Oryzias latipes: one gene and its partners. The protein of the gene in region 3 interacts with the protein of the main gene of each other region in a biochemical or structural test. Links are inferred from orthologs where the notes say so. Each region holds a gene or a part of one and is shown on either strand. Other genes may lie near its edges. The genes, in order: ube2m, pdlim7, smurf1, rhob and mothers against decapentaplegic homolog 5.

What was found.
Region 1: the proteins of smurf1 (region 3) and ube2m form a complex in vitro, tested with the Homo sapiens proteins (2 studies listed by BioGRID). The link is inferred for Oryzias latipes from reciprocal best matches to the Homo sapiens genes SMURF1 and UBE2M.
Region 2: the proteins of smurf1 (region 3) and pdlim7 are reported together in a solved structure, tested with the Homo sapiens proteins (2 studies listed by BioGRID, with this or other methods). The link is inferred for Oryzias latipes from reciprocal best matches to the Homo sapiens genes SMURF1 and PDLIM7.
Region 4: the proteins of smurf1 (region 3) and rhob form a complex in vitro, tested with the Homo sapiens proteins (2 studies listed by BioGRID and IntAct, with this or other methods). The link is inferred for Oryzias latipes from reciprocal best matches to the Homo sapiens genes SMURF1 and RHOB.
Region 5: of the proteins of smurf1 (region 3) and mothers against decapentaplegic homolog 5, one has a biochemical effect on the other in vitro, tested with the Homo sapiens proteins (3 studies listed by BioGRID, with this or other methods). The link is inferred for Oryzias latipes from reciprocal best matches to the Homo sapiens genes SMURF1 and SMAD5.

What each region holds. Positions count from the first base shown.
Region 1 is NC_019866.2:194,493-200,922, reverse strand, and holds ube2m (NEDD8-conjugating enzyme Ubc12), read right to left. Parts: upstream 4,538-6,430; 5' UTR 4,349-4,537; coding exon 4,234-4,348; intron 3,288-4,233; coding exon 3,193-3,287; intron 2,430-3,192; coding exon 2,391-2,429; intron 2,323-2,390; coding exon 2,219-2,322; intron 2,134-2,218; coding exon 2,070-2,133; intron 1,394-2,069; coding exon 1,253-1,393; 3' UTR 447-1,252; downstream 1-446.
Region 2 is NC_019868.2:19,510,727-19,516,111, forward strand, and holds the end of pdlim7 (PDZ and LIM domain protein 7), read right to left. Parts: intron 3,312-5,385; coding exon 3,196-3,311; intron 2,916-3,195; coding exon 2,829-2,915; 3' UTR 1,864-2,828; downstream 1-1,863. UniProt on the Homo sapiens protein: May function as a scaffold on which the coordinated assembly of proteins can occur. May play a role as an adapter that, via its PDZ domain, localizes LIM-binding proteins to actin filaments of both skeletal muscle and nonmuscle tissues.
Region 3 is NC_019866.2:19,074,802-19,081,489, forward strand, and holds the start of smurf1 (E3 ubiquitin-protein ligase SMURF1), read left to right. Parts: upstream 1-2,506; 5' UTR 2,507-2,741; coding exon 2,742-2,796; intron 2,797-6,688. UniProt on the Homo sapiens protein: E3 ubiquitin-protein ligase that acts as a negative regulator of BMP signaling pathway. Mediates ubiquitination and degradation of SMAD1 and SMAD5, 2 receptor-regulated SMADs specific for the BMP pathway.
Region 4 is NC_019882.2:6,548,255-6,554,820, reverse strand, and holds rhob (rho-related GTP-binding protein RhoB), read right to left. Parts: upstream 3,992-6,566; 5' UTR 3,820-3,991; coding exon 3,226-3,819; 3' UTR 1,536-3,225; downstream 1-1,535. Other genes in the region: apolipoprotein B-100, read left to right, coding at 1-540; pum2 (pumilio homolog 2), read left to right, coding at 6,219-6,551. UniProt on the Homo sapiens protein: Mediates apoptosis in neoplastically transformed cells after DNA damage. Not essential for development but affects cell adhesion and growth factor signaling in transformed cells. Plays a negative role in tumorigenesis as deletion causes tumor formation.
Region 5 is NC_019868.2:25,747,488-25,753,471, forward strand, and holds part of mothers against decapentaplegic homolog 5, read right to left. Parts: intron 4,266-5,984; 5' UTR 3,806-4,265; coding exon 3,403-3,805; intron 939-3,402; coding exon 678-938; intron 1-677. UniProt on the Homo sapiens protein: Transcriptional regulator that plays a role in various cellular processes including embryonic development, cell differentiation, angiogenesis and tissue homeostasis.

The DNA of each region.
Region 1 (6,430 bases), about 19 Mb from region 3:
ATGAATGACGGTCGGAGCAGCGAGGAAGAGCAGATTTGTGAGCCCGGACCGGGCATGGAGGGTCTTTAAAGTGGTACACGTGTTCTGGTTCTGCTCCTTCAGGAGATGCTGTTGAAACCATGAGTGTGTTTGGAAACCGCCGATCCTGCAGGAGAACCAGAGTTTCTGTCCTGGCTGATGAAGGGCTGAATGTTCTGGAGTCTAGGAACAAATGATTCTTACAGGGGGAGGGGCTTAAAAGAAAAGCGTTGTGCTGCAGGTCACGTGGATTCAGACGGAAGAAAAGTTCCAGTTCTAACCTTCATTGGACACCTGAACACAGAAATCAGGCGTGTTGTTCTGCTCCTTTATCTGAGAACGTCCTTAGGGTCCTCATGGGCGTGCATGTGTGCGTGCATGTGTGCGTGCATGTGTGCGTGCACGTGTCACAGGTAAACACGGAGGTCTTCAAGTTCATATTTTATTTAACATAAATCATATTGCAGTCGATGTGAACAGCTGGGGTTTCATATTCACAAGAATCCTAATGTTTAACTCCTCCCCTTTTTGACTCCACCCCTTAAAACCCCCAAATGAAAATAAAATGCGCCTTCTATTTAAATGCAAAAGTTCCGAACCAAACAATAGCCCCACCCATCGGCGCTCCATGTTTTAGCAGCAAACTCCAAACAGGTCTGGGTTGTTGCTCGCCGTCTCCAGATGCCGCATCATAAGCTCCTCCCACAAAGATCAAGATCCGCTGATGTCATCATAGAAGCATTTTAAGGCGTGTTCATTCAAACTTAGCCACTCCCCATATGAAGACCTCAACTCTATAAGCCCCTCCTCCTTTGAGTCTCCTGATCCTGAATGTTTCCTGAGGTTGCTCCACCCCCTCCTGTCCAACCCCCCCCCCCGACCCACTACCTAATGTTAAGGCGGGTCTTTCTCCCCTCAACCTGTCCAGGTGGGATGGGGGGGGGGGGGGTCTGGAGTTTGCTGCTGGCCTATGGACCACAGAAAATGTGGGAACGGGAAGGGGCGTGTCTGAATGTCAGCCTAAAAAAACAAAAAGAAATCCGGCAAATCTTCATCCTCATCAGCGTTGGGCTGACCCCCCCACCTTCCATAAAAACAGCTGGACATAAAAGAATGTGAGAGGAGGGGGCGGAGCTTCTTTCTTCTGCGTGTGACTTCCTGTTTCCTGCTGCGGCCCCCCAGCAGGGCTGAAGAGCAAACGGGTGGGGGGAGGGTGAGATGGTGGGACGCCCAGCTATTTCAGACATCTCTCAAAGTAGGTGGCGCCCACATAGCCCCCCCTCAGGGAGCGATGGACATTCTGCTCAAAGAGCCGCCGGTTCGTCTGCAGGACCTCCGCCGCCTCCTTGTTCAGGGGGTCCTCCGGGTTTGGCTCCTGGGGGGTGGAGTCGAGCGTCAGTCGTGTCAGTGACACCAGCAGAACCGCGGGTTCGGACCACCTCAGGGATTCACAGGGGCCCAGACACCAAAAGAACCGCCGCTGCACGGTTCCGTTTGGTGTCCAGTCCAACTGAGAGAACCCAGGGAGTCGCTTCAGACGAAGACTGAACCCAAATACAGTCTAGAACCTTCTTCTCTCATGGTTCCGAAACCAGAAACATCCGGAGTCACAAAGAGTTCTGAGCTTTGTTCCATCAGGATGAGTCTTCTGAAGGTTCTCCACCGTAGAACGGTTAAAGAACCTTCAGGTCCAGTTCCAGCTTCTGGACCTGAAGGTTCTTTAACCGTTCTACGGTGGAGAACCTTCTGGTCCAGTTCCAGCTGGAGTCTGAATCAAAGCAGGCAGAAGACCCGCCTCCACCGGTTCCAGGTTCTCTACGTTGGGCTGATCCCACTGGGTCCACTGTTCCCTAGCAGAACCGCTCTTCCAGATTGCTCCTAGATTTAGCTACGGAATGGGGGGGCAGCTAAGGCGTCCCCTTATCCAAATACGCCCCGCCCACTGACAGGAGTTTCCCAGTTGGGAGGGGCCCAGTGGGTGACCCTCCTGCAGTATGATTGGCTGACCAGCAGACCCCCCCCCCTCCCCCAGATCATGTGACGTGTCTTACTAGAAAGAGATACTGCAGACCGTAGATGATGGAGTTTATCGTCAGAACCGGCTTCCAGTCCTCTCTGTGGAGCAGAAGAGCACACATGAACCTCCAGAACCCCCCCCCCCCCCCCTCGCTGTTCGGATCTCCGGTTCTGAAGAACTGACCTGAGGATGTTTAGACAGACGTTTCCTTCCAGGTCAATGTTGGGGTGGTACACCATCGTCTCACACTTCACTTTGGGGGGGTCGTGGGGGTAACCCTGTCCTACCTGAAACACAAACTCTTATGATGTCTGCGAGCAGAGAAGGGGCGGGGCCAAATGACGCGTTTGCTGACCTTAAAGCTGAAGACGAACTTCCCTCCTTTGTAGAAACCCTGAGACAGAAACACAGGTTAGCTGCAGGATGCTGCCCCCTCCATGCCCCCCACTCTGCCTCAAAACCCCAATGTTGTGACATGGCTGTGGGGGGGCCACAGCTGAAGCAGCCACTTACAGGGCAGCACTACAAAATATGGAATCTATGAAGCATGGTGGCGGAGGACTAATGGTATGGGCTCAGAGCCTCCACCCCCAGAGTAATCAGAGTACTCTGGTATGACAGGCAAGGCTCAAACCCATGACACGCCCAGCCCCCCTGGAGACCCGTCTACCAAAAACTGGTTTTGCCTGCGACTGGATCCGACCAGCACCGCAGTGCCACATGAGTGTTCCGCCTGACAGCCCGCACTCTGGGTTTAGCTCTCTGTCTGTCATCTGTCTGCAGTTTAAATAAAGTTTTACATGAGGTCCCTGACGTGAACACAAGCAGCAGCAGGACTTTGACCAATCATCTCAGGGGAGAAGAATCACGGAGTGGATTCATGAGGAACATGATGATGAACAATCATGAAGAATTCCTTCTTTTTGCTTCCACTTGGTTTGAAATTCCCTCCGGGAGTTCAACAGGATACCTGGCTTTTATTCTGAAAATCCAGGTTAACTGCTGCTCTTTGAAATGCTCCAGAATCCAGCAGGAACACGAGGAACCTCGGCTACATGATGTCCATCTGTGGTCACATGACCCCCCCCCCCCCCCCCCACACACACACAGCCGAGTGTAAACGTGAACGTCTGCACTGCTAGGAATCAAACACGCACCTCATCCGGCGAGATGATGAGCCTGAAGTTGAGTAGGTCGTCATCGTCGGGGAAGCTGATCTCGCACGTCTTTGGCAGGTTCAGCTCGTTGATGTCTGGAACACAAACACCTGCCGTTCAGGATCCTTCTCTTCATCACAGGACAGCACCTGGAGGGTGCACCTGGAGGGCGCACCTGGAGGGTGCACCTGGAGGGCGCACCTGGAGGGTGCACCTGGAGGGTGCACCTGGAGGGCGCACCTGGAGGGTGCACCTGGAGGGCGCACCTGGAGGGTGCACCTGCGCACCTGGAGGGTGCACCTGCGCACCTGGAGGGTGCACCTGCGCACCTGGAGGGTGCACCTGCGCACCTGGAGGATGCACCTGCGCACCTGGAGGGCGCACCTGGAGCCAGCCCCACCCTACCTGAAATAGCTTCTAGCTCTGGACATCATACTATGTTTGCATTTAGGCTCTGCTTAGACATTTCAGATTGGACAATTAAATCACCCGAGTCCCCCCCCCCCCCCCCCCCCCACTCCTCCTGTTTGGTTCTGGCCAACTTCACTCCAGATTTGCCCCCCTGTCCCCGGTGGAAGGCGTGTACCCCTTGTGCTATCCTAGGCACTTTAACATTGGGAGTGGGGTCATCTAGACCCACTAGACAGTGGGTCATCTAGACCCACTAGACAGAGCTCTGAACCTTTTTTCTTCAATGATTTGTGATCTTCACTGGTGTCCATGGATTACATGAAATCTTTCCACCTTTATCCACCTTTGTCATGGTAGGGAGAACACCTCAATGGAAGGAGGGGGGGGGGTCATCTGAGATAGCACAAGGGTTAACCCCCCCACAGCTGCTCATCACTTTGTTTTCGAGGTTAGCCGTGGCTAACAGCTAGCAGCTAGGTTAGCATGCTAGCCGTTAGCCGGAACTGTCGCCGCTGCCGGCCCGGACTTCCCTCCGTCCGGGGACCGGAGCTGCCTGAAAGCGCGCAGACAGCAGCAGGCCCTCCCGGAGGACCGGCGGCGGTCCCGGGCCGGTGCAGAGGAGGAGCCCACCTTTCTGTATTCGGAGCTGGGCCGCGCTGGCTTTCTTCCCCCCGGCTCCGGCTCTGTTTCCTCCAGCAGATTCCTCGTCTTTCTTCTGCTGCTTTAGAGAAAACAGCTTAATCATCTTCACCTTTTGATCAGGGGGGGGGGGCAAGCTAGCGAGCCTTCGGGTTGCGCGGTCCCTCCAGGTCGTCTGGGACTGTTCGGAGGTTCGGATCGGTCCTAACAGCACCGGAACGTGGACGAAGCCGGCGCGTCTGAACGGGTCTCTGAACGCGGCAGCTGCTAGCCTGCTAGCCTAGCCTGTTAGCGGGGGTGGGGGGTGGGGTGGGGGTGGGTGTCATACGGACCCCCCCCCCCCCCCTGCTGTGAAGAAGTTCACTGGAAAAAATGTAAACAGAGAAAAGTGTAATAAAGTTGAAAAACATTGAAATGTTTCTGTTCAGATTTGGATCGAGCTTTAATTTAAAACGATGGAATTTTTACAAATATAAATAAAAATAACAAAAACAGTAACAACAAAAACTTTGCATACTTTGGTATTAATTGTACTTTTGACATTTTGCGTTTATTACTTTAATAATAGTCATTTTATTCTCTGGGTAACATTTTTCTGTTTCAAAAATTACTTTTTTTTAATTGTATGTTTCCTTTTTTCTGGGATCCTGAAGTACTCATTTCTCTGTGCGCGTGCGTTTAGGGGGTGCGTGCTCGGAAATAGTAAATGGACAGTTTTATTGCTGTTAAATTCGTGCAACAGTGAATTGATATTTCCCATAATGCCCTTTTCCACCCACTTCCCTGTTGTGACGTCACCAACAGAGGTGGGGCGTACATGCTGTCGCTCCCCATTTTTATTTACTTCATTTATTTATTTATTTTGCTGTTGCGTCTCCCTCCCACTCTGAGGCGGCGTGTGCGGTCACCTGCGTGATGTAATCAGTGCGGAGGTTAAACGTGTCAGGGCGGCGCGCGGGCTCCGGATCACGCTTCTCACGCCAACACTAGGCGCGAGAACAATAGCCGCGCACAGCGCTCACGCCAGCGGCTCCTGGCTGCGGGGGTTTGTGCGGGAGCGAAAGGAGCGGCGCCTGCGTGATTGCGGGGAAGGACACGCGGAGAAGAAGGCGTAAGCTGCGGGTAGAGAGAGATAGATCCACGCTGCAGAGAGAGAGGCGGAGTGCACGCGCATCCATCCGAGGCCTGATCACCTGATCGATATCGATCAGTTTCAGATCGATGTTTGGGTCCCGCGTGCGTCTCTGAGGCGGGGAGGATGGGTCGCGCGTGAGGGCTCCGGGGCCGCCGCGGCAGAGAGGTGTGCGGGGGGGTGTGATAAGGAAGCGGCGGAGCTAACGGGGCTAACCGGAGCTAACGAGGCTACCGTCCATTCTGATGAGCCACAGACGAGCATGCGCGCCCCAACGAACAGGTGAGAGACCGTTCGCGTGCGTGCGTGCGTGCGTGTGTGTTTGAGGGAGAGGGAGGGGGGGTCCATCTGTCCCGGTCCCTCCGGGGCTTCTGCACCCGGTACCAGGGGGAGCAGCCGCGGGGGGGCAGACAGCCTGCTAACCTGCTAGCGCATTAGCATGCCTTTCCCTCGTGATCAGGTGAAGTGAGGGGTGGGGGCGGAGGGTCATCACAGGTGCGTGATGGGCAGATTACCAGAACTAGTGGCGTAGAACGGCTGCAGGGGTCCGCGCTCTCACGCACCGACCTGCTTACTGTTGGCCTTTAGCCGCTGCATCTGCGCACTTATGCTCACCTGTATGATACCAAGCCCCGCCCCCAGGTGAGCAGTCCCTGACCCACAGACCACAGCAGAATCTTCTGGGCCTGCAGCTGAGACCAGGGCAGAAGCTCAGGTCCAGACCTGCTGATTCTTCAGGTTCTGCAGGAGGACTGGGTGGTACGGTCCACCTGCAGCCCCCGGAGCGGTCCACCTGAGCTCCAGGAGCGGCTTCAGATCAGCTGTAGGTTAAACTCTGTAGACGTTTACAGATGAGGAGGATGAGGATGATGAGGATGAATTCTATTTGTTTCCTGGAACCAGAAGTCCCCCTTCAGGATTCAGACAGAGTCAAGAACCCAGATGACTGGATGTGAGTCAGGAACGAGTGAGAACGTCAGAGTAGAACGTTGAAGAACGTCAGAGTAGAATGTTGAAGAACGTCAGAGTAGAATGTTGAAGAACGTCAGAGTAGAA
Region 2 (5,385 bases), on a different chromosome or scaffold from region 3:
CAGTTCACTCTGTGTTACGAGGAAAAAAATGATGCATCCCAGCACTGTACTCTGTGTCACTCATTAGGAGGCTGTGCGCATTTTTCAGTTGGTGTGTGCGTTTGTGTGTGTGAGGCTGGGCGTGTGCATCCCTCCCTGTCACTGACGGAACTGTTTTCTTTGGGAACTGAGAACAATAGACTCCTGTGCTTGTAAATGGTTTTCTATTTGGTTCTTTGGTTCTATGTTCCTTGCCTTTCTGCAAGTCAAAAATGCTGTATTTATTACACGCCACAGCGCTTATGCAATTGTATATTCATTCTGTTGTTTTCTTTGTTTGACTTTTTTTTTGTTTCTTATTGTCAATGTAAATTGTTGTCAAAAGTTTTTGTGGCGACGGAAAAAAAGAAACTTCAGAGGGAAGTTTTCCTGTACTTTTTGGACAATGATATGAATTTGTGGGTAGAATTTTGGAAATTCGTTTCTAAGTGCTTTCAAGTATTTACTTGGCCTTATGTATATATATCTATGACATTTCAGAAAGGTATGTATAGTAATTCAATCCAAAATTGTTGTAAATAAATTATATATTGCTAAAATCGAGGACTGGAGTCTTTAATTGCAAAAAGAACGTCGACATTAAACCAAACATTTTGTGGAATTTCACTTTGACGTCCGTTAAAAGAAACTTTTGCTAAAAAAAAAATTTGCTAAAACATCTTTACTGCACAAATTTCATGGATTTATAAAACTTTATGCATTCACGCAAGAGCCAGAAGTTACCTTCAAACTGTTAAAAAAAAAAAGGAAAAGAAATTCTGGTTAAAAGGATAAAATGCAACCAACTAAACAGGAAACAAAACCTACTACCTCAAAAAAAGGAACAAAAGTGAAAAATGTAATTCTTCCGATCGGTTCTTCTAACACTCTTTGATGCCAAACGTGATTTTTGTTAAAGTCGATATTAAATTCTATAGAAATAGCTTTATTACAGGAAGTTTAGGATATGCAAGGCGGAAAGTTATAAAGTGTTTTTAATTAGACTCACCAAAAAAAATGCAGATTCTGTATTTAGTCACAGGTTTAGGGGCAGTTTATTCATCATTTCCTTACACACATTTATCAAACTCCTATAATGTAAGCTGTTGAACTTTGACCTTTCGGGATAGTGAAGCTTTCATGAAAGCACCTTCTGCTCAGAAACCTGAGCTCCAGCAACAGTCTATTAAACTTACAGAACACCGCATTCTGTCCTTAAGACCTCCATTTATATCAAATTTCATTTTAAGATGCTTTAATTATTTTGATTTTATAAGAACTTCTGTATTTTATATTCATGTTTAAAGTTCAGATGTTATATTCAACAGTCTCTAAATATAGAATAAAAGTGGGAAAATGAAAAGGAAAATATTTCCAAACATTTAGAAGCTGTTAGGGTGAATATTCTGGAAAGGGAGTTGGTAGATTTGTAAAGCTTTAAGTTTATAAAAATATTCTTTTTTTTACTAGTTTTTGATTTGTTGGTTTAAACCAAGTCTGTAAATTTACCAGTGGTTGTATAACACTATTGTAACCACAAAAACAAAGTGTAGTTTAAACTAGAAACAAACTTAACGTTTTGTAATTTACTTGTTTTTTTTTAGCTAAACATCTATTTTTTTTTTTTTTTCCCCCCTAAGCTGTTTCTTTTATTTTTTTTTAACTGGAATGGAAGATTTAAAGTCTTAATGAATAATTAGTGGGTAGTCGTAAAAAAAAAAAGGACAATGTGTACGTTGGACTCATGATTCATTTAAATGTCCATAAAAACTTAAAAAATGACTAACAAAAAAATGTTTAAATGTGGTGGAAAAACTGCAAAAATATTTTCCTACACGAGAAGTATTTTATCGAACAAACCCAGTTTATTAAACCGTGTGAAAGGTTAAAGGAGTCGTGCAAAGTGAAGAGAAGGAAACAAAACTAAATGAAAATTGTGAAGTTCATGATCTCTGCCAAACAGTGAAGAGTCTAAAATCTTCTTTTAGGAAATAACTGAACATTAATGACATGCAGTTAGATTAGATAGATTCAAATGTGGAACATTATTACATTTTGAATTACATATTAAAAAAAACAGGGAATTATTTGTATACAAGTCAAAACACAAATAACATGTTTTTGTTTTTAAATAATTGAGTTTCTTCAGTTTGTGTGGCATCTAAAAGGGTTTTATTTGAAACTTTCAACATAAAAGCTACAGAAAATTAAAGCATAGAAATAAATTCCATCATGAAACTAGTGTTTCATGTGATCTTTGACCTTTATTATCAGAACAAGAGCATGAGGGGGAGGAGCAAAGAGGAAAAAAAAGAGAAAATGTGAGTCTTTGTTTAACATTCCAATGATAATATTCTGCTAAACCGGGTTCAGTAGCATTACAGGCGCTGTGGGAGGAGCTTTTCTGCTCTCAGTACAGAAGTGTATTGATGAAATCTGAGCATTATATATATATATATATATATATATATATATATATATATATATATATATATATATATATATATATATATATATATATATATATATCAAGAGCTGACGATCTGAAATAATTTCTCGATTAGTTCCAGTAAAGCAGCAAAATGTTAATTACAAAGTGACATCTGGAGAGTTTTAGCAGCCCTAGAAGGTGACAGCATGTGAAGTCAGAATGAAGCCTCTGAAAATAAAGTCTGCAGGATATAAAAAAAAAAACAGACTGAGCTGAAGTGGCTGTGTGGTTGGCAATGCTGATCGTGTCAGAGGGCAAAACGGGGTAAAGAGGAGGTGGAGGCAGAAGTTGTTCTTTCTGCAGATGCAGCTGGCTCCTCTCACACCGGAGCAAAAGCGTGGCTTTTGCACAGCGGCTTATCCTTCTTCGAGTAGAACGTCTTACCCTCAAGGTTGATTTGGCAGAGCTTTAAAGATGAAAGAAGACAGACAGACGGAGTCAGATGGAGCAACCGAGGTGGAGGAGATATCAAACTGCACCAGTGCCAATGGGAATTTGCACAGTTTGGTGCGGGCCAGAGCGGACCCATGCGTCTCCTTTGACTGTTTTCACGCTCAGATAGGAAAAACCAAACTGAAGAAAGAGCTCCAGGTTCTAAGATGAGCTCAGATGGGTCAGGTTCTGCTGAGATTGGAGAAAAATTGGGGCTAAAAACAAAAAAAAAAAAGGGGTCCAATCAGACTTACAGCACAGACGAAGCACGTGTCGTGCCAGCTGAAGCCTAAGGCCTCCAGGAAACGATCGCCGGCATCAATCTTGAAGTCGCAGCCGTGGCATTTGGTGCCAAACATCTTCTCGTAGTCTGGAGAGGAAACAGAGGAAACTCAGATTCCAGGGAGACTTGACGTCTGTAGAACCAGGCCAAATTATGTCAACAGAACTTTACTTCTCGCCGAGGTTACGGCGCAAAGGATCTCCAAGAGCTCTCGCCTTTCATGTTTTTTTAAAAAGCTGGAGGTTAGCGCCCTTAAAGATGAGAAGACGCTACACACAAGCACTTAAGGGATTGAAGGGAAGCAATAACGGCGGATGAGATGCTGCGGATGCCAAATGCTGGCTCCGCTCCTCATTGGCCATTTGATAGTGTGATATTTGGAGCAACAGTGGTGCCTTCACAGCATGCGGGGATTAGGAGGAGGGGAGGGGGAAATTGCTCCCAATACTTGACTGGATTTGCCAGTCTCTTTCATCACGAGGACTCTGGGGAAAGTGTCAGGTTATAACGCAGCTTCTCAAGAGGCAGCGAGAGCGGCACAATTCCTGCAAGATGCTGAGGCAGCAGAATGTTTATCAGAGCTGAAGGCATTATTCAGAAAATGAGGATTGGGGTTTCTGCCTCTGCCTCTGATAAAGCAGCAAAACCCGTCAGGGGCTGAGCGTTGAGTAAGAAACACATTGCCCCGCTAAATCATTTAGAGCATAATAGAGGAGCGTGCACCTTTCATAACTGCCTACAGAGGGATGCATGGAGTAAACTGCAGCTAAATACATTACAGCAGATGAAAACATCACACTCGGTGATTGACTGTGCTGTGCAGCGCTCCGATTCACCAGACAGAAAGCCTCGGCAGCGCTGCAGCCGGGCTTCACACAGCTGTCACAAAGAGCCTGATAAAAGTCTTTATTTTGGTTTGGAAAACTTCCCATCCTCTCAGCTGCAGAGTGCTGTTGCATCAAACATTTAAGACAGACGGCCTGTGATGCTTTGTACTTAGATTTACAAGAAACATGCAGAAATCATGGGGGGGGGGGGCTCTCACACGGCCTGAGAGGTCTCCCATTGTGCGCTGGAACTAATCAATGTGCACGCTGGGATTTGGAGCCACTTTAATTTCTGCCAGTTTCCTTTTCTACTGCTCAAGTATCCCTGCCACAGACGGAATGGAACTGTCCATTCAAACTCGGGTTTCTGGGGAGGAAAGTGATTACTCCACTCATTTCTAACTGCGCTTCCACAAACCACATTATTCTGACTCGTCTGCACGTGATCCCCCCACCCCCCACCGACAGGAATAAGTCTGTCAGGGAAATTAAATAAATAAATAAAAATAACAGTGAGACAAGAACTCCCTGATCAGCAGTAAAGTAGAAAAAGCCCCCAGCAGGAGCCCCCCGGGGTGTCCAAACTGGCTATAGGGAGTCAAGTTTAGGAGTAAAATGCAGCATAAGGGGCCAGAAATCACAAGTTGAAGTGTGGAGCTAAACTGGAGCTAAAAAAAAAGAAAGTAACGGAGACATCCAGGAGTGACGCTGAGCAGCAGCAGCAGCACTCACAAACTGAAGAAGTTGCAGAGTTACACTCTAGTAAAGGTTATAAACACGCCAATCATCTTTTGATCTGTTGTGAAATCGTTCCCAGTGGTCTTTTCATTACGATGGTGCCGTTTTTAGCCAAAATCAAGAAACCAGGGTTGTTTTCTAGGACATAGTTTCTGCAGAGCGGCAGGAGTTCATTAGAGATTCACCTCTGAGTTGTAGGTGGGACACGGTGCAACTCCGCCCCCCTACCCCTTCTCTTTGCTGAGAGCTCAGAGCAGGGTGCTTGTGGCCCACCCAGAGTATTTTTAAATTTATTTATTTGATTCATTTTTTGTTTCGCACGCTGGTTTTACTGTCATGTCTTTGATCTGTTCTCGCTGGATAGCTGTTTTTACTGAATTGCCCTTAGTGGATTAATAGTTGTTCATCCATCCATCCATCCATCCATCAGTCACACAAATAAGTTCTTTTTTCAAATTGAATTTTTTGGTCTGCTCCTGTTTCACAACAATTTCAATAGAGAAATACTCAGAAATGCAATTTTGAGCTTAATATTCTTGATATATGTCCATCATTAGAAAAATACCACAAGAACAAGTTAAAAACATCAAAACACC
Region 3 (6,688 bases):
TGATTATTATCTACATTTATTTTAATATCATCCTTTTGATTCCAGACTTTCATTGCATTTTATTTCCTGCAGATTTTAGACGTTTTGTTAGACGAATTTTCTGCCTAAATTCTTGACCTTTTGCCTAAAGTTGTCCACATCTCCTGCACACCTACACCTCAGCAGATGGGTGGAGTTGTGAGGCTTTTCCATGTACTCCTGCATGCCACGAGGCCCTCGTGTTTGACGGCATCCGTGCTTTATTGAAAACAAACCATTGACCTCCTTTCTGCTGAAATGACGTCAGCAAGACTCTAAGAAATTTCCAAAGACAAGCTCTTGAGGCATTTTACAAATGAAACAAAGACATATTTGGGATTATTATGAATCTGAACCTCAAATAACTTTTACAGAAGCAACATGAGACATTTTTATTTAAACTGAGGAGAAGTTAAGGTTTGGAGACTTTAGGCTTCAGATGTTTTCAAATGTCTGGCTGTGCTTTCACTGTCTGACAGAAGCTGTGTTGTTATCTAAAAGCTGCTTTATGTCCAATAGGGGGCTGCAGTGAAGTCTGATTATATCAAGAGAGCAAGTCTTTATCCAATTATTTGCATTTTTGTCTTTTCTTCTTTGCTTTAACACAGTTCATTTGAGTTTTCCGGGTCAGAATCCATTTAAATTAGCAATAAGTTAAAAAAAAAGAAAATGTTTTTGGAAACAAACATATCGTTTTTTTCTTATAACACTTTTCTTTTTCACTTTTGTAAGGATAGTTTGGCAAATGCTTCATAGAAACAGAATTTATCAGCAAAAATTATTTATCACAGGCATTAAAACAAGAAAAATAAATGAAATTAATTGTGAATCTGTTTATAACAAGTTAATATCAGTTACAGCAGGGGGTTGAATATTTACTCCTTTAAAAAATACTTTTCATTTGGATTTTTGCTTCTGTGAGGGAGTGTGAGCTTCTGTAAAGCCTCTGCACGTGTTGGCTGGTAAACTGTGGGTTTGTGTCTGGATGTGTATGTGGCTCGGTTTTGTGGATTTACTGTGGCGTGTAAACAGGCAGTAGACAGGTTCCTTTGTTTCCTCGGCTAATATCAAAAGCGTGTTGCTCACCCTGGTGCTACTAAAGAGCCAAATCCCAGGAACCATAATCCCAGATGCTCTGCTCTCTCAATCTCAAGACACAAGTGCATTGCACATTCCTCACAAACGCAACAAATGCTCAATGCTTCCGATCTGCAAGTTTGCCTGTTGACCTTCTTTTTGTTTGGCTCTTCTCTCAAAACTGTTAAACTCAGATCTAAATGGGCTCTATTCTGAAAAAAGAATGAAAATGGTATATTTTCTTAATCTCCATGTCTTCAATATTAATACAAGTTTTTGTGTAATTTAAGGATTAAAATCATCACTAAATTTGTTTTTTTTCTTAACTGACTAGTGTTAGTCATAACAAAAATTACAACTGTGACTTACCATCCTAGACCCTCAAAGGGATTAAAAAGGTGATTATTTTTAATTAATTCTTAAGTAATACCTGTACATAAACTTTTCCACATTTGGAGTATCTGCTAAATTTCTAACAGTTGTGTTCGTATTTCAATAAAACGTACTTCTTCATAATCAGTTAGGATTTAAAAGGCTTCACGTTGGTGCAAGTGTAAATGTTGGGAAGACAAAAATAGTCAAATATGTTGATCTATACTGTAGCCTTCAAATAAAAAAAAGGGTTTGTGTGAGTGATTTTATAGATGTACACTTTTCTTCAAGCACATCAATTTAAATGCTTCAGTTTAGATAACAGGAATGAAGATTAAAGTTATGGTCCATATGACCCCTAAAGTCTCCTCCCATCCCATGATGAATGTTTTTGGTGATGTTTTTTTTATTTTTCTGTCTCACCTACAAACATGCAGAGAGAAACTCATCACTGGAAAGCTGTTTATAGACATAATATTCATGCTTTCACCCAAAGCTGTACGATCTCCTGCTCTCTAAAAAGAAGGGAATTTAAAAAGTTGTTTTCTAGCTTTTGCTTAAAGTGAACATTTTCAGAGCAACACGGGTAGATCAACTGTTCCTGTGTACATCCATGTTTTTTTATTACAAATATTTTAAATATTAGGATAAATAAATCAACTGAATTAATAGCAGTTAATTGATTATATGTGTTTGTTGAAAACAGTTTACTTGGAAAATGAATTAATGTCTATCTGTGAGGGAAATGTTGATATTAAATTCATTTGTATACTTTTAGGTCACTGTATGAAGGGAAAACCCCTCAAGATCCCTTAGTTCTTGTAGAGTTAAAACTAAATTGCTCTCAAAATATTGAGTAAAGTATTGTTTTTTATCATAGATTGTTTAATTGTTCTTTTCCCCTCTCTCTACTCTCGTGTTTTGTTTAAATAATAATAATAATAATTTATTAATTTTCGGAGAAGATTTGTTTTGAAAATCGTGAGAAATGTTTTGCTGGCGCGCGCACACTTGCTGGAGCGAGCACGTAGCGTCAAGAACATGACGTCAGCCGGCTACGTGCTTGAGCCTGCCTGAAAATGTTCTCCCGTGTTGTTGGATTTAGAAGGAGCGCAGGACTTTGCGGCGGAATTATGTCTTTTTATCCATGAAGAAAACAGCCCTCGTCTTCTTGTAGTGAAGTCTTTGCGGTCCCGCTCTTTCATGAAACTGTGATTTTTCCGGAGGGCTGTCTCCGAGGGGAAGTTTGACTGATCCTTTTTTCTCCCGAAGTGATGTCGAATCCTGGGAGTCGGAGGAACGGGTCCAGCATCAAAATTCGACTGACAGGTAAAAATACAAAGGAAATAATTACATGATGAATTGTTTGCAGTACCAGTTTTGTGGAAAAACTACCACCCCAGTCCACATATCTCTGCTGTGTTATGTGTAAGTAGTCAATCTGTCTCCTTTCGGTGCTTCTTTGCCCAAACATCCGGTTTTCTGTAGCAGGCTCAGCTAACTTGTTAGCAGCCATGCTAACAAAATTACCGTACGAGCAATTCATAAATTGACAGTTTTTGCTCGTTTTACGGCTGAGCGAAGTGAAAACGCCGCAATGACGAGCTGGTGAAACTGCAGCCTTTTACCAAGTCGTTGAAAAACTTAATTAGCTGCTCGGGCTAGTAGGATGCTAGCGCTAGCCTTTACAACACTGCAGTAAATGTTGACCACTCGTAACGCTCGCTAGCTACACCCATATTTGGAGGGTGGACAGACAACCGAGCCCCGTCGCTTCTGCTGAATCCTATGGGCTCTGTTACAAGAATGAGAGCTGACCTGCAGCCTCTCCAGACATTGATTTGTCTGTTAATATGACATGCTACCCTAGATTAACTGCAGCCATCGATCGTCTGGTGTTAGCTAGAGCTACACTCGCTGAACTTCTGCCTCCTCTGAAGTTTGTTCTTGAGGTATCTGAGATCTACTGTCAGGGTTAGAGCCTTCATTTACACTTTTTTTAAATTGATCTTTATAAATATTATTTTAGGCCAAAAAAGCTCCTATCCAGCAGATATTTTTAATATATTTGGTACCTATATAATAAATACAATAAAGACATGAAAAAGATAAGAAAATTAAAGCTCAAGATTGTGTAATCTATGGTTCATTTTAATGTTTTTAACTATGCAAAATTTTTAAGGGGCATTTTTATAATGTATAATGAATCCTTAGTTAAGAATTTATTACTTTTTGTGTGTTAACACACTAACATCACTGACTGGGACCGAATTGATCCTGATTATATTTTGGTTATTAAGGGAAATTATATTTGACAGGCAGCACCAAAGCAATACAATTTTTTCACGTTAAATGTCAAGGCCTTTAGATTTAGACTAAAACCTGACCAGCCTACTGATGGCAAATGTCAATTTATGACTTTATTTATGGATACTTATGTTTAATACAAATTTTAGTTTGAGACTATTGGATATATCTAAATATGTATGTATTATAGTTTGAGAACCACTGTTTTATTCTGTTAAAGACCCACTCCATTCATCTGTTGATCTATTTTCAAAGCATTCCCAGTGGTTTTTTAAATATGATTATGCCCATTTTAGTCAAAATCAAAAAACCTGTCGTTTTCTTTAGAGCTGCAGGGGTTCATTTGACATTTGCCTTTGTGTTGTGCCTAGGACTGTTGGCACAGAGTAAGCTCACCCCCACTTCCCGTCACCCATTTGTTTGCGCGCTCTCCCAGCCCCTTACATCCCCAACCTACCATTACTGGTGCAACAAAAATGGCGAGCAATATTGGAGCTATCCAGCTGTACAGTTTTGAGCCAGATGCCAGCTCAGACGAAGAAAAGAGAGCCATGCATGGATATTGTGGTCTATAAGTGGATTAATCAGAATGGAGCGGAGCAGGGAGACTGTTGCCTATCGACTGTAGCTTCTATGTCACAAGTCCAACCTCTGTCAAACTTTAAATTGTCTCTGACTCATTTTCTTTTCCACTCTATTTTACTCAGAATCAGACAAAACAGACATGTTTGATGGGAATTCTGCAGGGTAACCCTAAACTGGAAATGAACTTTTTTACTAATGTAGCAGAATGCCTGATTCAAAACTAAATAAGCACACACGCAAAACATCGTTGCCTTGTTATTTGAAATTTTATTTTTTATTTGAAGTGGTGCAGAAAAAACATTAGTGGAAATAAAGTGATTGCTGTTCCTGTGGAAGGTTTGCGATTCTCCTGAAGTGACATGGTGGTTTAAGTGGTTAGACACTTGCTGCACGTGTGTATTTCTATATCCTGTGTCTAAAGTCTGCATTCTAAGGGATTAGAGCAGATACATGCTGTCTACTAGAGCAAGTCTCACAAACCTGACCTACTTCTTCCCATAAAGCCTTTATATTTACTCCCCAAGGTGTCACTCATTCAAGCTGAATGTGAAAAAGAAAAGCCAGAATCTTTACAGTTGAGAGGATAGTTACAGTTAAGCTAAAAGTGATACAAAAATCAACAGAACCAAATATTTGTGTTTCACACATAAATTTAAAGTCAGCTTTAGATACAAAGATGGGGATTTTCAGTTAAAAAATGGCACATTGATCTGAGAATTTATGGTTGAATAAACTTCACAGCAATTTTACGATTTTCTTTCATGGAAACAAAACTTCACTTTTTTAGTTTTTGAAGTAAAAATTTCTTGTTTTATCAGCATTTCATTTTGTGGTGCCAATTTAAAACCAACTCTGGTTCACTTTAAGCGAAAAAAATGTGTCCAGTCTGAATACACCCAGAGGTTAAATTGAGTGTCTATTTTGTTGGTCCGTACAGAGTCCGCTTAGTCTGGTCCAGATAAAGTCCTGAACCGTGCATTTGGACTATATCTAGACTGACTTTACCCAGGGACTCATGTTCCGGATCAAAGCTTGGAAACAAAACCATGTGACTAAAGATCTCTTCAGTCATTGGCAAGGAATTACAACGGTGGGGCAAAGCAACGGGAGGCAAAAATGTTGGAAGTCTTGCGCTTCGGAGGCCTTGTCGGGATAGTTCAGTATTCAAACTTTATTTTTCACTGACCAATTTTCCCAGTCTGTGTCAATGTCAGGTAGAACACTTTACTGCTGCTTTGGTGTCTGGTCTGAATACACCCTGAATGGGTTTCAAAACCCCACCAATAAATCGGTCTTCATTATATCAATAAAGCTTATTTATTTTGCATTTACGTGAGTTTGATTGTTTAATTTAAAAGGCGCTTAAAAATAAAAAAAGCTGATTATTTTTATACAACTCTCTACTGGGAGAAAAGTGGCTAAACCATGAGCGATTGTCTTTTTATTTTTTTAAGTTGTTTTGTGATGGAAAAATGAAGAGTGTTTGTGTGCTGGTGAGGCGTTCCCTCCTGATTCCAGCCTAGACTCTGTCAAATGTTGTTTCCCCTGAGTTTGCCCCGCCTACACAGGTATTATAGGAATTTTTATTGGGTAAAGACTGTGCATTAAGCTGGCGGGAGCACTGTGCTGTCAGGCTGACCTGCTCTGTTTATTTTGCCAGACAGCGATTGTTTGGCCTACATCAAAAAGGCCTGTGATTCTGTGGAAGGGACTCGGGCAAGTTTGGGCCACATTTCAGAGACGCTGTTATTGTCTGCTTGCCGCCAAACAAGAATCTGATTGTCAATTCTCTCTCTGTGCCTTTTTACATCAGAAATAGCCTGTAAAGAACTCTGAAGTCTGAGAAACAGATTACAGAACCGCCTTGTGTTTCGTCTGAATGTTTTCAGTCAGCTGATCGTTTGGATGTTTATTAATGAGCAGCGTTGCGTAAGCAGCAGGATGCCTGACAGCCCACGGCCATTTTTACCCATGAACTGCAGTCCCTGAAAACTGCCCGAGATGTTATTGGAAACCTGCATGTGAGAACGCAGACGTCAGCAAAACTGGCCAGAGACTTCCTGCACTGAATTTATAGCCAACTCGCTGTTAGGAAGTACGGAAGATCAATCACACTGGCTCATATAGCATTCATTACCTGCTGTAGTCTAAACACAGCAGATTTCAAAGACAGCTTTTTGCATCTTCCTCTGCAAAAGACCTGCATGTCTGAACTGCAGCTGTAGTAGATTTGGATTGTAGATTATTGTAGATTTTCTGTGATTTCAAAGCATATTTTATTAATAACACGATAGAACAAAAAGGGGGAAAAGGGGGGGAAACAGGGTCT
Region 4 (6,566 bases), on a different chromosome or scaffold from region 3:
CGCATCGTCAGTGGTAAAGAGCTTCTTGATGACTTGTTGTTAGCTTTGAGGCAAATCCAGGAGCAGATAATCATTACAGTGAGGAAACTTGGAGACATCTCACTTGAGGATATTTCGAAAAAATTATATGCATCTGTGCAGTTCACAGTTGCACAGAGTGAGAGGTTTCTTCAGTCTCTAAAATCTCTCAGTGCAGAGAATCTCTCCAGATTTTTCAGCGATCTGATTAGTGATGCAATGAACTCCCAGATTTTTGCCGATGTTGCGCAGCAGCTAAAAGAAATTCACAGAATCATTTTGGAATATTTTAAAGCTGTGTCTGATAAAATCTACAACATTGTGGCGGACGTCTCCACTGAACAGCTAAGATCTGACATCCAGTCCTGGATTGATCTGTCTGTAAAACGCCTAAATTCTTTCCACAACGACATCATCAGAGCTCTCAAAGAAACAACCAAGAATGTTAAAAAGTATGTGAAAGTGACTGACAGACAGATAGATGTGGACATTCCCTTACCATTGGCTGCCAGATTCAACTAAATGATTTTGACTCTCAAAAATACAACATAGTGTTAATCAATTTCTTTGCAACCAACAACACAACCATAAATGCACCAAAAAGCTGAGCAATTGACAGACAATTACGGTACATCCTTTTATCTCTGTACCATTACTCCATGTAATTTTGTTCATTGTGTCACTGCAGACTAACAATTCTTTTCACCCTCATGTGTTTTCTTTATGCCTTGTACTATTTAAAAACCTCTCTGGGTTTCAATAAATACAATTTTTACTGCACAGAAGTCTAACTCGTTTTTTTTTAATATTTTAAATTAATTTTCTGCTGTTCCACCTAAAACACACACACAAAAATGTGCCTCTTAAAAAATATGCTGAAAACAATGGAACTAGATAGCACTCCCAAAGGGACATTAGTCATTAGGAAGTCTAAGTTAAAAATAGTTCTTGTGACACACCATCTTTCTTGTCCTTAAACAAAGCTGGTTGGTGCACAAAACAGCAGGTTTGTGTGTTAACAATGAAATTCACACCAAAACATTCTATTTGCAACTGCTTGACTCGGAGAGAATGACTCATTTTCCAGTTGCAGCTCTTACATCATTTGAGCAATAACTGATTGTAAAATAAATACCCATGATTACCCTATGTATAACCTATCACATGCGACAAAAGCCAGTTTTCTCATAGTATTTTTCAGACACGTTCCATTTTTTTATTATTAACTGTCTGCTCATTAGATGTTAGTCCTTAAGTTTTTAAGACTAACATCTATTAGTCTTGATATATTTCATGGAATGTTCTTATTACTGACTAAAAGACAAAGAACTTTATATTACATATTTAAAGTAAATAAAAGTACAACACCCCAGCTCTTTATGAATATGTTAGAAATAGTAAATATTTACTGAGAAAGTAAATTGAAAAAAAAATCCACGCATATGCATTTGCCAATAAATATGTTATGAAAGTATTTTAAAATTCATTTTTATGGGAAAAAAATAATTAAAGCAATGAAAAGTGAAATGTGTTTTTATTGACATTTCCAGAGCAGTAGCAGTTCTTCCCTTAAGCCCCGTAAAACCTTTTCTGTACCATTACGAGGCAATAACCAGAAAGACACAAACAATTTGGCACAGTCCTGCCCATGTTTTACTGAAAAAAAGATGAGGCAACCTGCAGCAAGCAGTGTCAGAACACTGTAAATCAGAGGCACAAGTGAGGCCACTGTGACAATAAAAAAAGTCCAGCACAAAGCATTCCCATCCTGTAAGTCAGCACAAAGCCTAGCAACAGAAGGCAGACAGGAATGTGACTTTTATACCACTCCAACTCTGCCTAGATTTGTTCAATATAAAGGTTTTAACTTAAGGTAACTTCATTATTGATTGTTAAGGTTTTTTTCTGTTTTTATGTACACATTTAAAATACTTTCTTTGTGGAAATGTACCACGAACAGAACAGCTGGAACAGTAAATCCACCGGGTTTTTACAACAGATCGCCGTGTAGCAACAGTGTCAGTAACTGATGTCCATTCAGCAAACACTCCCACCAGCATGCAACGGGGTGGTTACACAAGACGTCTGTGTAGCCACACAAGAGCTAGGTTTATTTCAGAAAAACACATCTGTTCCTATGAAGTTTTCCTTTAACAAGAAAAAGTACATTCGTTGTTGCAGTTGCAAAAGCCCTTAATTAATACAAATTCAGTAACTGTATTTTACAGCTTCAGTAATGGATCACGTTTACATTCAAGAAGCCTTTTGTTCAAAGTTTGTGAATTGGATGCAAATAAGTTTGGATAAAAAACATACAGTGATGAATCTAATGTCCTTCCATAAGTTATTTGTGTCAAAGGAACACATTTTCTTTAAAAAATGTCTGTAGTGTTTTAAAAAGAAAATGCATCCCAGAGTCAAACCATGCAACCTGCTCTCTCTTTAATCCCATAACTTTAATTTTTTTTAAAAGAACTTCAACTATTTACAACTGGTTCCATAAGGGCTAGAATTTCCAAACAGCCTTCTTGTATAAAATACTGTGCGACACTGAGAAGAAAAACACTTTAAAGGATCTAAAAGGTTAACCATTTTCAGGAAGGCAAGCTGGGAAGTTCTAACTCTGGGATGATCCCAGATTGTTTCATTTTATGTGAAAAACCTATACTTTTGTAATACAAATATGGTTTATGAACTGTAAACTGGAGCTTTTGTCTAGTAAAATGTAGCAAAAACTTCACCCAACACTATTTGCACCGATATTTATAAATTGTTGTAGTGTCCAACACTGCAGGTTGACAAAAATGTTATGGCACAAACTGGTAATAAATTATTATTTTTTTTCTTTTCTGTCTTTTGAAAGTTTACACATTGTAGTGACCTATCCAGACTCAACAATGAAAAAGAACAAAAACTTTGGCCCAGGAGCAGGCCTTCGACAAGGACGTGTCCACATGGGAAGTGGGTCAGGTTTCTCTTCACCCCCACCAGCCAGACTGTGATCATGTGACTCACAAAGAACAAAAAACAAAAAATACAAACATTTGTTGATATTCATGCGTGCTCGGGGGGGAAATGAGGGAATACAGTCTGCTTGTATTCAGTCAGTGTGTGGCTCAATCAAGGGCGTATGACTCCAGCAGGGGAGTGCCCAAACCATCAGGCCCACGCGTGTCCAGACGCCTCAGCGGATGGATAGCAGATGATTCACATTAAAACGCAGCATTTAAAACAACCATCTCCGGGTGTTCTCCGCTTTTGCAAGGCCGCTCGCGTTGCCGTTTCAAAAACCTCCCAGATCCCCTCTTTGGTTTTGGCAGAGCACTCCAAATAGTCATAGGCGCCGATACGCGCCGCCATGGCGCGTCCGTCCTCCGCCTTCACGGGCTCCAGCTTCAAGCGAGACAGCTCGTTCTTGGTGTTTTCGTCGTTGCGCAGGTCCTTCTTGTTGCCCACCAGAATAATCGGCACGTTCGGGCAAAAGTGTTTCACCTCGGGGACCCACTTTTCCGGGATGTTTTGCAGCGAGTCGGGGCTGTCCACGGAGAAACACATGAGGATGACATCAGTGTCCGGGTAGGAGAGCGGGCGCAGGCGGTCGTAGTCTTCCTGTCCGGCCGTGTCCCACAAAGCAAGCTGGACCTGCTTGTTGTTGTCCACCTCAATGTCCGCCACATACGTCTCAAACACAGTCGGAACGTACACTTCGGGGAACTCGTCCCTGCTAAACACAATGAGCAGACACGTTTTCCCGCATGCGCCATCCCCGACCACCACCAGCTTCTTCCGTATGTCTGCCATTCCTGCCTTTTCCTAGGAGGTCCCCCTCAGGCGAATCATCCAAAGATACTGACGCGGTCTTCTTCTTTGTCTTCTGGTGCTGCTGACCCTGTTTTTGTGGGCAAAATCTAACCAGTTAAACCAGACACTTAATTAAAAAAAAACTCCCAACCATCTACAGGCCAGTGGGTGGTTTTATAAAGCCTGTGCGCTTTCCTAAATATAGCAATCCAATCGGAAATGGGGAGGTGAGATCACACTTTGGGAGATGAAAGATGATTGGCTCCTATGGAGTAAGGGGCGTGTCCAAAAACAAGAAGAACCATACCGGCTTCTAAAATCACCAAAATCTGTTAAATAAAGCGGAATCACGGATTTTTTTTTAATCTTCATGTATAGCTTTTTTTAAATATTATTTTTATGTTAGCTAATTTATATACATTAGCCTCAAATTTGTAGAATAAACCTGTAAATAGAAATCAGATACACAGATGATAAAGTTTTCAGATAAGTACAAATAGGTCGATTTTTGTTTTTGTTTTTTTGTTTCGGAGTTGTTTGTTTTTGAATTTTTTCAACCCGTCAGGAGCTGATATGCGTTTGAAGAGTACATGATACACATGATACAGGAAAGATAGATTTACATTAGCTTTGTTAGACGTGTGTGTCCACGTAGTTCGCTCTATTTACAGGGAGGGGGCACCAGCGAAGGCACAGCGCTTAGCTGAAGCTAAATCACCGCACTCAAGGAAACAAAACAATATAGAATAGGGTTGACGGTGTGCAGCGAGCACAGATCCTCTCTCGATACAAAAAGGCGTGAGTATTTTCCCCCCTTTTGTGCTCATAATACAAACACGGGCGCTACGAGACGACCGCCTTGAAGCAGTTACCGCAAGATTAATATTTTCTCTTTTGTTTAGCGGTAAAGGCCCCTCTATTTGGAACTTGAGGGGGGCCATGTTGTTTAGCCGCTGAGTGTTTGGCTGATGCTTTAGCTCTCAAAACAGCAATTAGCTTCTATTTTAGCTGACATGGGTTGCTTGAACTGTTGAACATATTTGAATGTGATTGACAGAGTCAGGAAAAAGTAAGAAATGATTACAAGCCATTTTGCAAACTAAATCATTTAAAATCTCCACTACTTTGCTGGTTAGGATTGTTTAATTCCCAAACTGAATTTGACGTCTGGTTGTAACAAACCAAAAACAAACACAACAGGCCCGCTTTCCTTAGCATTAGCCGGTTAGCCATGGATGTTGCGAAGGCGAGCTTCTAAATGATGTCTTTTGGCGTGAACATGTTTTGTTTAATTAGTGTGATTATTCAAAGCTAATTTAACACACCCGTGACAACTGCCACTGAGTCTGTAACAATAATCTTTATTTTTCGTTTTAAAAAATTGCTAATTGCTGCTAACTTAGCTTGCTCATTAGCACCGGACTTGCTAGCAAGCTTAGCAAAGCGGTTTGTTCTTTGATTTGTCTCAACACTAAACGCTTAATTTTTGCCGTTTAAATTAATTTTCAAAATTATACAACAATGATCGTTTATAGTTTTTGCCTTGACCAAAATAACAATTTTGTAAGAGAAAACATTTATGTTATCGTGGTTAAAATTACCCATAAATCTTTACCATCGTGATTTTTAGGCTTGCATATGTTTATTAATATTGTATGCTAATGCTGCACCAACAAGTTTATTCGTGACCACACTATAACTACGGAGTTATTTTACTGACAAATTTGAATGCTATAAGCCAGCAATCGAAATAAAACTAATTCAAAAAGCAGAAATGACTGTTGGGTAATTAAGCTGCTTAAGAAGAAGTGATTACGTGGAAAATACTTATAATTCTGAGTGAATCCTTTTATTAGAACCACCTTGTAGGCTTTCCATGATAAAGCAGAACTTATATTTTAAGCAACAAATAGTTTTGATGTTTTCTTATGAACCTAGAAGTTCGATTTTATTTTGATTTAAAAACTAACCTTTCAGCTAAAAACATCATGAAACAGGCTCTTAACGTCAATATAACTTTGGCAGAACACATTTTAATAAATAAAACTCGTTAACGACCGAGTCCGGTGTAAATTTTGTTTTTTACATGCTCCTGTGTCATTTCTCTGGTGATGCAGGACATCAAGCTAGCAGGACAGAGTGTAAACAGAGGGATGGTGGGAAGTGGGGGCAGGCTTACTCCACGCCACTATTCCCTTCCACAACTAGGAGGCACATTTCTGATGAACTTGCGCAGCTCTGCATAAACTATGTCCTAGAAAATGACACAGGTTTACTGATTTTTGGCTAAAAACAACATAAGCATAGCTAATAGATTTTGGGTGATATTTAGGCATGTCGATGTGTTCATATTAATGTAGCATTTCTTCATGCTTTGTCTGTGTAGGTTTTCCCGTGGAATGAGCGTTCCATGCAGCATCCTAGGTATGAATGACGTGGGCTGGCAGGAGACGAGGGGTGGGGTGCTGCACGCAAATGGCGCTCCTGAGACCGGGGGCATTAGGGTTCATGCTGGAGGTCCCCTAACCACAGTTGGGGGTGCTGGGCACCTACAAGGCATGGACAGGAATCCCAACCTTACTCCGGGTACACCCCAACCTCCGCTGAGCGGGAGATCTCAGGATGATGCCACAGTCGGGTACTTCTTTCAGAGACAGCCCGGAGAGCAGCTTGTTGGTTGCACAATCAGTAAACATCGCTGGCCTACTGGAGATTCTAACCATGTTGATCAGGTATAAGCCTTAATT
Region 5 (5,984 bases), on a different chromosome or scaffold from region 3:
TAGAATGACGGAGCAATAGCTATTTATTTCTCAGTAGAAGTCTATGGGTCTCTTAAAGCCATTGGGTACTTCCTGTTTGAAACACAAAGAAGGAGGGGCCACTCAGTCCAGTTTTCATTTACAGGTAATGGTTTGGACTTGTTGAACTAATTAGATTAGCAAGAAGCTAAAACAAAGTTCTGTGACAGAAATTTACAAAAGGGGTTAAAAACCATTTTTAACCCTTGTGCTATCCTAGGCACTTTAACATTGGGAGTTGGGTCATCTAGACCCACTAGACAGTGCGCTGAACTTTTTTCTTCAATGATTTGTGAACTTCAATGGTGTCCATGGATTACAAGAAATCCTCTCCACCTTTGTCATGGTAGGAATAACACGTCAATGGTCATCTTGACCCCATAAGAAAGCACAACGATCCAAGTCTGCTAAAAAAATTTAACGCGGTCCCAGGCTAGTTGCATTGATGATGATTCAACAAAGAAATTCCATTTTTTTCTGGTTCAATTTCCTTCAGTCGAGTGCAAATGACACCTCTTCCTCACATCACACAATCAAAATCATCTCACTTGAGACCAACACTCGTCAGAAGTTTTCTTGTCTACGTTAGAGCGACAGCTGAGTCAAACAATAGCCTGGCAGGTTTCCCAGGGTCAGGAACATGAATGGGTGTGATGTACCTGGGAGTTGGAATGGACTGGAGGGTCCCGAGCTGACAGGGGAGTTTGGGTAAGTACCACAGCTGGCTGGAGAGGGGGGATATGGAGAGTTGGGAGAAATGGAAAAGGAGCCACCCCCGTTGTGCGGCTGTGGAAAGGACTCCGGAAAGGTGGCGTTTAGGGGCATGTGCGGCTCGTTGTGGGTGAGATTGCGAAACTGTGCAAGCAAACTGTGCTGTGGATTGAACTCGCTGTGTCGCGGTACAAGGACAGGAGGCAGCACTGGAAGGTAGAAAGAAAGATAAAGGAGACAAAGACATTTTTATTTGACACATTAAAATCATAAAAATAAAATTAAATGTTAAGAAATTTCCATTATACCAAACAATCGCTAAAAGACCTTTTCTGTTATAAGTAGTTATTAATGGCTAACCCCCTCATAAAACAATCAAACCAATGAAAGATGTATACCCTCTTAAAAATATATACATTTTTTCTGAACTTGATTGTCAAGTCAAGCAAACTCTGGTTAATTTAGTAGATTATAAATTTACTAGCAAATGAATTCCTGTCTGGTTCTTTTTAGCGAGAAAGCAAACTTAAGTTAACCAAAGACCGGAAGCAAACTAAAGCTGCGTTCACAACAAGGGCGAGTCGCGGTTTCATACGGACTCAATAAAAAGTCTTGCGATGAATTTTGAACGTCAGCTGCAGCGCGATTCTCTAGAGACAGCACGTTTTGAACAGGGAGGCGAAAATTCAGCATATTTCCAGAGTTTAAACATCAAAACTTTGGTGAAAACTTTGTTCTGCGTCAACCAATCAGGAACTCAGCTTTGGCCCGTGACATGCTGTTGACGTGATCAGTGGGTGGAGTCCAAAACCAGCATGGAGGAGAAATGTTTGTTCTCCTCCTGAACTTTGTGATATTTTTCTTCTTTGTAGGGCGACGATAATAAAAAGTTCCTCTTATTTTATTTTTATTTTTTCTTTTCTCAGAGTAACGCGGGACAGCAAGTCGTCAGACTGGGTCACAGAGAGACGGAAGCACAGCTGAGAGCGCCGTCATGCAGACACAGCGCCTGCAGTAGATGGTGAACCTCACCGTACTGGCAGAGTCTCTGAATGACCTCATGAACCCATACATGGAGACACGATGAAGAGCTCTTTAAGATAACTGATCTCTCATCATCATCGGTGGCTTCCATGTGGCGATGAGGCTAAAAAGCTTTGACAGCAGCTCATCCCGGCAGTGTCGGGAGCATCAGGTTTATAAACACACTTTTGGACAAGTGTTAAGCAGCTAACTTGATACACATCAAAACAGAGGCGCAGGATGCCCAATAGCCATACGGGGAGCATAAAAGTAGCCTTGCATTATGAACTAGTACATGCACAGCATTGATTCAAAAACTACTGAATCACCAAAAAAAAAAGTCTTTTTGGGGTGCTTTTGCAGAAAAAAAAAAGACGTTTGTTTGGAAGAAAAAAAAAAACTAAGTATAAAGCTAATTGTCCTTTTATAATCTCGATACACTTCCCATCGTTCCATCACAGTGTTTACCTAAGAGGCATTTTAATGTCTTTATGTAATTTGTGCATTTTCAAGTTCTTTCCAGATTTTCCTTAGCAATACAAAGCGGCTTGAATCACTCTTTGGCACTTGAACTATCTGCTTACATTTACACCGTCACTGAAATGCACCAGGTGTTTAAAAAAGAATGAAAAGGTTTGCTTTCTTGGTCATAAACAAGGTTCAGGTGGACTTTCCTACCTGCACACGCAATGCAAACCAAACAAACAGGCCAATAAAAATAAGCATCATAAATTATTAATACAATGTATAACTTTTAACACAATGTTATTTACATTATTTGCAAAGAAATATAAATAGCAATGCATTTTTATAATGGAATATACCATTAACACACCAAAGCATTGAATTTAGACACCCAACATGGGAGAAAAAATGAAGAACAATTTCACAGAGGATTGTCGCTTCCAGTCCCTGAGGCTAATGTAGAAGCTGCAGTCACATGTTTAATTAGCCAACCATAATGTGACTTTGCTGAAAACAATCTAAATGTCTTTCTGAGCTGGATGTAACAAAATCTAACAAAGGAGCCAGTGATACACGAAACCGACAAGTATATTCGCCACCAGAGAAACGCATCTCAAAGCAACAAAAGGGGTCCTCCTTTTTTGTCTCCCAACGTGACGGACGTTAAACTAGGGAGGACGGTTCGTGAACAGAACATGCTGGGAGTTTACTCCGAGGGGTTTATGCATTTACTGAGCCACTTTGATGCCACACCCAATCTGGAGTGCCTGAGGCATATAATCTAATAAGATTCTTAGAGCTAGTGGTATTGATTTTCTGTGAAATGGAGGAGGCGGGTAGAACGGGCCAGTGAGGACAGCCTCCTGACCTTTGTGGATTTGTTTACCGAGCTCTTTGGAACTCGAGGTTCTGAAGGATGTGTGCAGCCCGACATCAGTTAGTGTGCCAATATGAGAATTGCGCTTATGGTTTTAATGCCAAAGATTAAAAAAAAAAAAAAAAAAGAGGAACATTTTTGACATAAAAGGTTCCTTAACATCAACAAACACGAATAACTCAAATGGAAATGTGTGAAATCTGACAAAGTTTTATCGTTTAAAATTTACAAATAAAAAAGCATATTTAAAGCAGTTAAAAGAGCAAAGTGCAAATATTTCAATAAGTATGATATCTACTGATACTTACCAGGGCTTTCCACGCGATTGTAGTGGTACGGATTGATGCAGACCTCCTTCTGTTTGGAGCCAAATGGATACTCGCACCCGTCCAGGGGCTTCAGCTCATGGTGGGACTGAAGGTCCGGCCAGCGCCACACTCGACAGTAGATAACGTGAGGGAGACCTTTCCTGTGAGAAACCTGCAGCCGGCCATCCAGGGATCGTGGAATGGTAACACACTTGCTGGGTTGACCTGGGCAGCTCAGGGCTTTCTCCAGGTCTTCCATGGCGCCCTTCTTCTTTTTCAGCTTTTTCACAAGTGCATCCACAGCCTTTTCTGCCCATTTCTCTTCCTCATCTCCTTGCTTCCACCCAAGCAGCCGTTTGACTGCTGGGCTTGTAAAAGAAAAGAGGCTAGACATGGACGACATGTTGCACAATGTAGTCTAGCCCAAATCAGAGAGCTGCGTGGGGTAAACGGTCACCCTCCGTCCGTCCAAAAGAATTCAAAAAATGATGGTACCCTAAAACCAGTCCAAAGGCTTGATCAATCAAACGAGCAGTGTAAGAAAGCAAATGAGTGGACAGAGATGAGGGTGGAGTGAGAAGACTAGCCTTGTCTGACCAAGGACAGGAAGCAGGGGAGGAATGGGAGTCAGCAAGCAGGACGCAGCTGCTGCTGCTCAGGAAAGGCCCTGCAGCAAGCTGACCGTAGTCGGGTCACCACTACTAACCGAGGGAAAAGTTTCAAACTGCAGGGGCTGACATCAGGACGCCTGTGTCAGAAAAAAAAAAGACAAAGAAAAAGAAAAAAAAGCCTTATAGGAAGACAACCATATTTCCTGTGTGATGTGTTCATCCAACGAAGCTCAGTATGAAGTCACCACCTTTCTGCAAAATGAAAGAGACAGCAGATGTTAGGGAAAAGCAACACAGAAAATATTTGAGATGATTTGGATGCTAAAAAAACAAACTTTTCTTGCTTCGGTTAACTTCATCGGGACTAAGATCAGTGTTTATGAGTTCTGAAATCATGTGACAAGCACTTGTCTTCATCAACAGGTTATTCGAGAAGTCTGCCATCTTCTTTTCTCTATCTTACATCAGTTGTAAGGAAGTTCAGGCATGCTTGCTGAAACATGAATGACTCAACCATCTGAAAGGTGTTGCATTTCAAAGAGTAAACTTTAAGTGAAAATGAAAAGTATCTTATCACCCAAAACTGAGAGCTGCTTACACACTCTCCAGCTATCTTACGGCCTGCCAACCTAACATTGCAGGTGCAACTAAAACGGTGAGAAATGTTGGAGCTATCCAGTCGTACAGTTTTGATCCAGGTTCCAGCTCAAACAAGGAAAACAAAGACGTGCATGTGTAACCGGATCATTTCTGCGTTGTGTTTAAGAAAGTCAAAAGATGTCGGGACACAGCAGCACAACCTCCGTTTATTGCGTATCGGACAATTTTCCAAAAAGAAAATAGAAACCACGGTGTTAGCATCCCGTATTAGCTCCTACGTGAAGGTGAGAGGTAGAGGGAGCACAGGAAATTCTTATACTGAAATAAACAGTTAACATCTACAAAGGTTTTTTGTGTTTTCATAACAGATTCCACATAATAAGAGTATAAGGGACAATAACTAACATAAAACGAGGATTCATATGGCTATCATTACAGGGCACCCACCTCTCCCGCTGGACAATCAAACAAAAAGGAGAGAGGGAAAGCAAGCGCCAAACTTATAAAGAGAGAAAACCAGCGAAGAAGAACACATTAAGGAGCGGCTACACAACCCAACACAGAATACAGGGGGGAAAGAAACTTAGGGACAGATAATATTTTGTGTAATTAAAACTAACAGATCACGTCCTGTACACATGGATCCATTTGTCTCCAAGTGGATGCATCAGAATGGAGCAGAGCAGGGAACTCGCTAAGTGCATCTTCTTTATAAAAATAAGATCTTTTTCAAACAGCATTTTTTGTCTGCTTCTTATTCCTGATTTGAATAAAAAAAAAAAAAGAATATTCAGAAAGGCTATTCCGAGCCTAATTTACTTATTAAATGGCCTCCATGTTAAAAACACCAAAAACAATGTTCAGAGCGCGACTTATTTTGTTCTAAGCGTATGCAGACCAAACAAATGGAGTTCAAACATGTGCAGCCGCAGCTGTGTGGAAGTTTGGAAAAACTAGTGGAGTCAGAAAGGATGTAAGCCGCTTCCTCCTCCATCTCATCTCTGCCTGATTCCTCCCATCAAGACCACAGCTGTCCAGCAGTTCTTATTGCTCATTGTTATACACCCCCCCCCCCCACCCACACAAAAATCAGTAGGAAATCATAGATGGCAGGACGTAAAGCCAAAGACAAAACTGATCACCCAGCTGGTGTTTAAAATTACAACAAAGAACCTTAACACAACTGAATTAACTAGTCTGCTTTAACCAACTAAAAATAGCTCATCAACTCACTGTTGAATTGACCAAACCAACACAATGAAATTAATTTGACCATAAAAATTACATTAAAATCGGGGGCAGTTCACTATTATCTTTTTGTAGACTTATCAAGCAAGATTTTAAAAAAATAAGTCGGTTTTAAACGAGTAT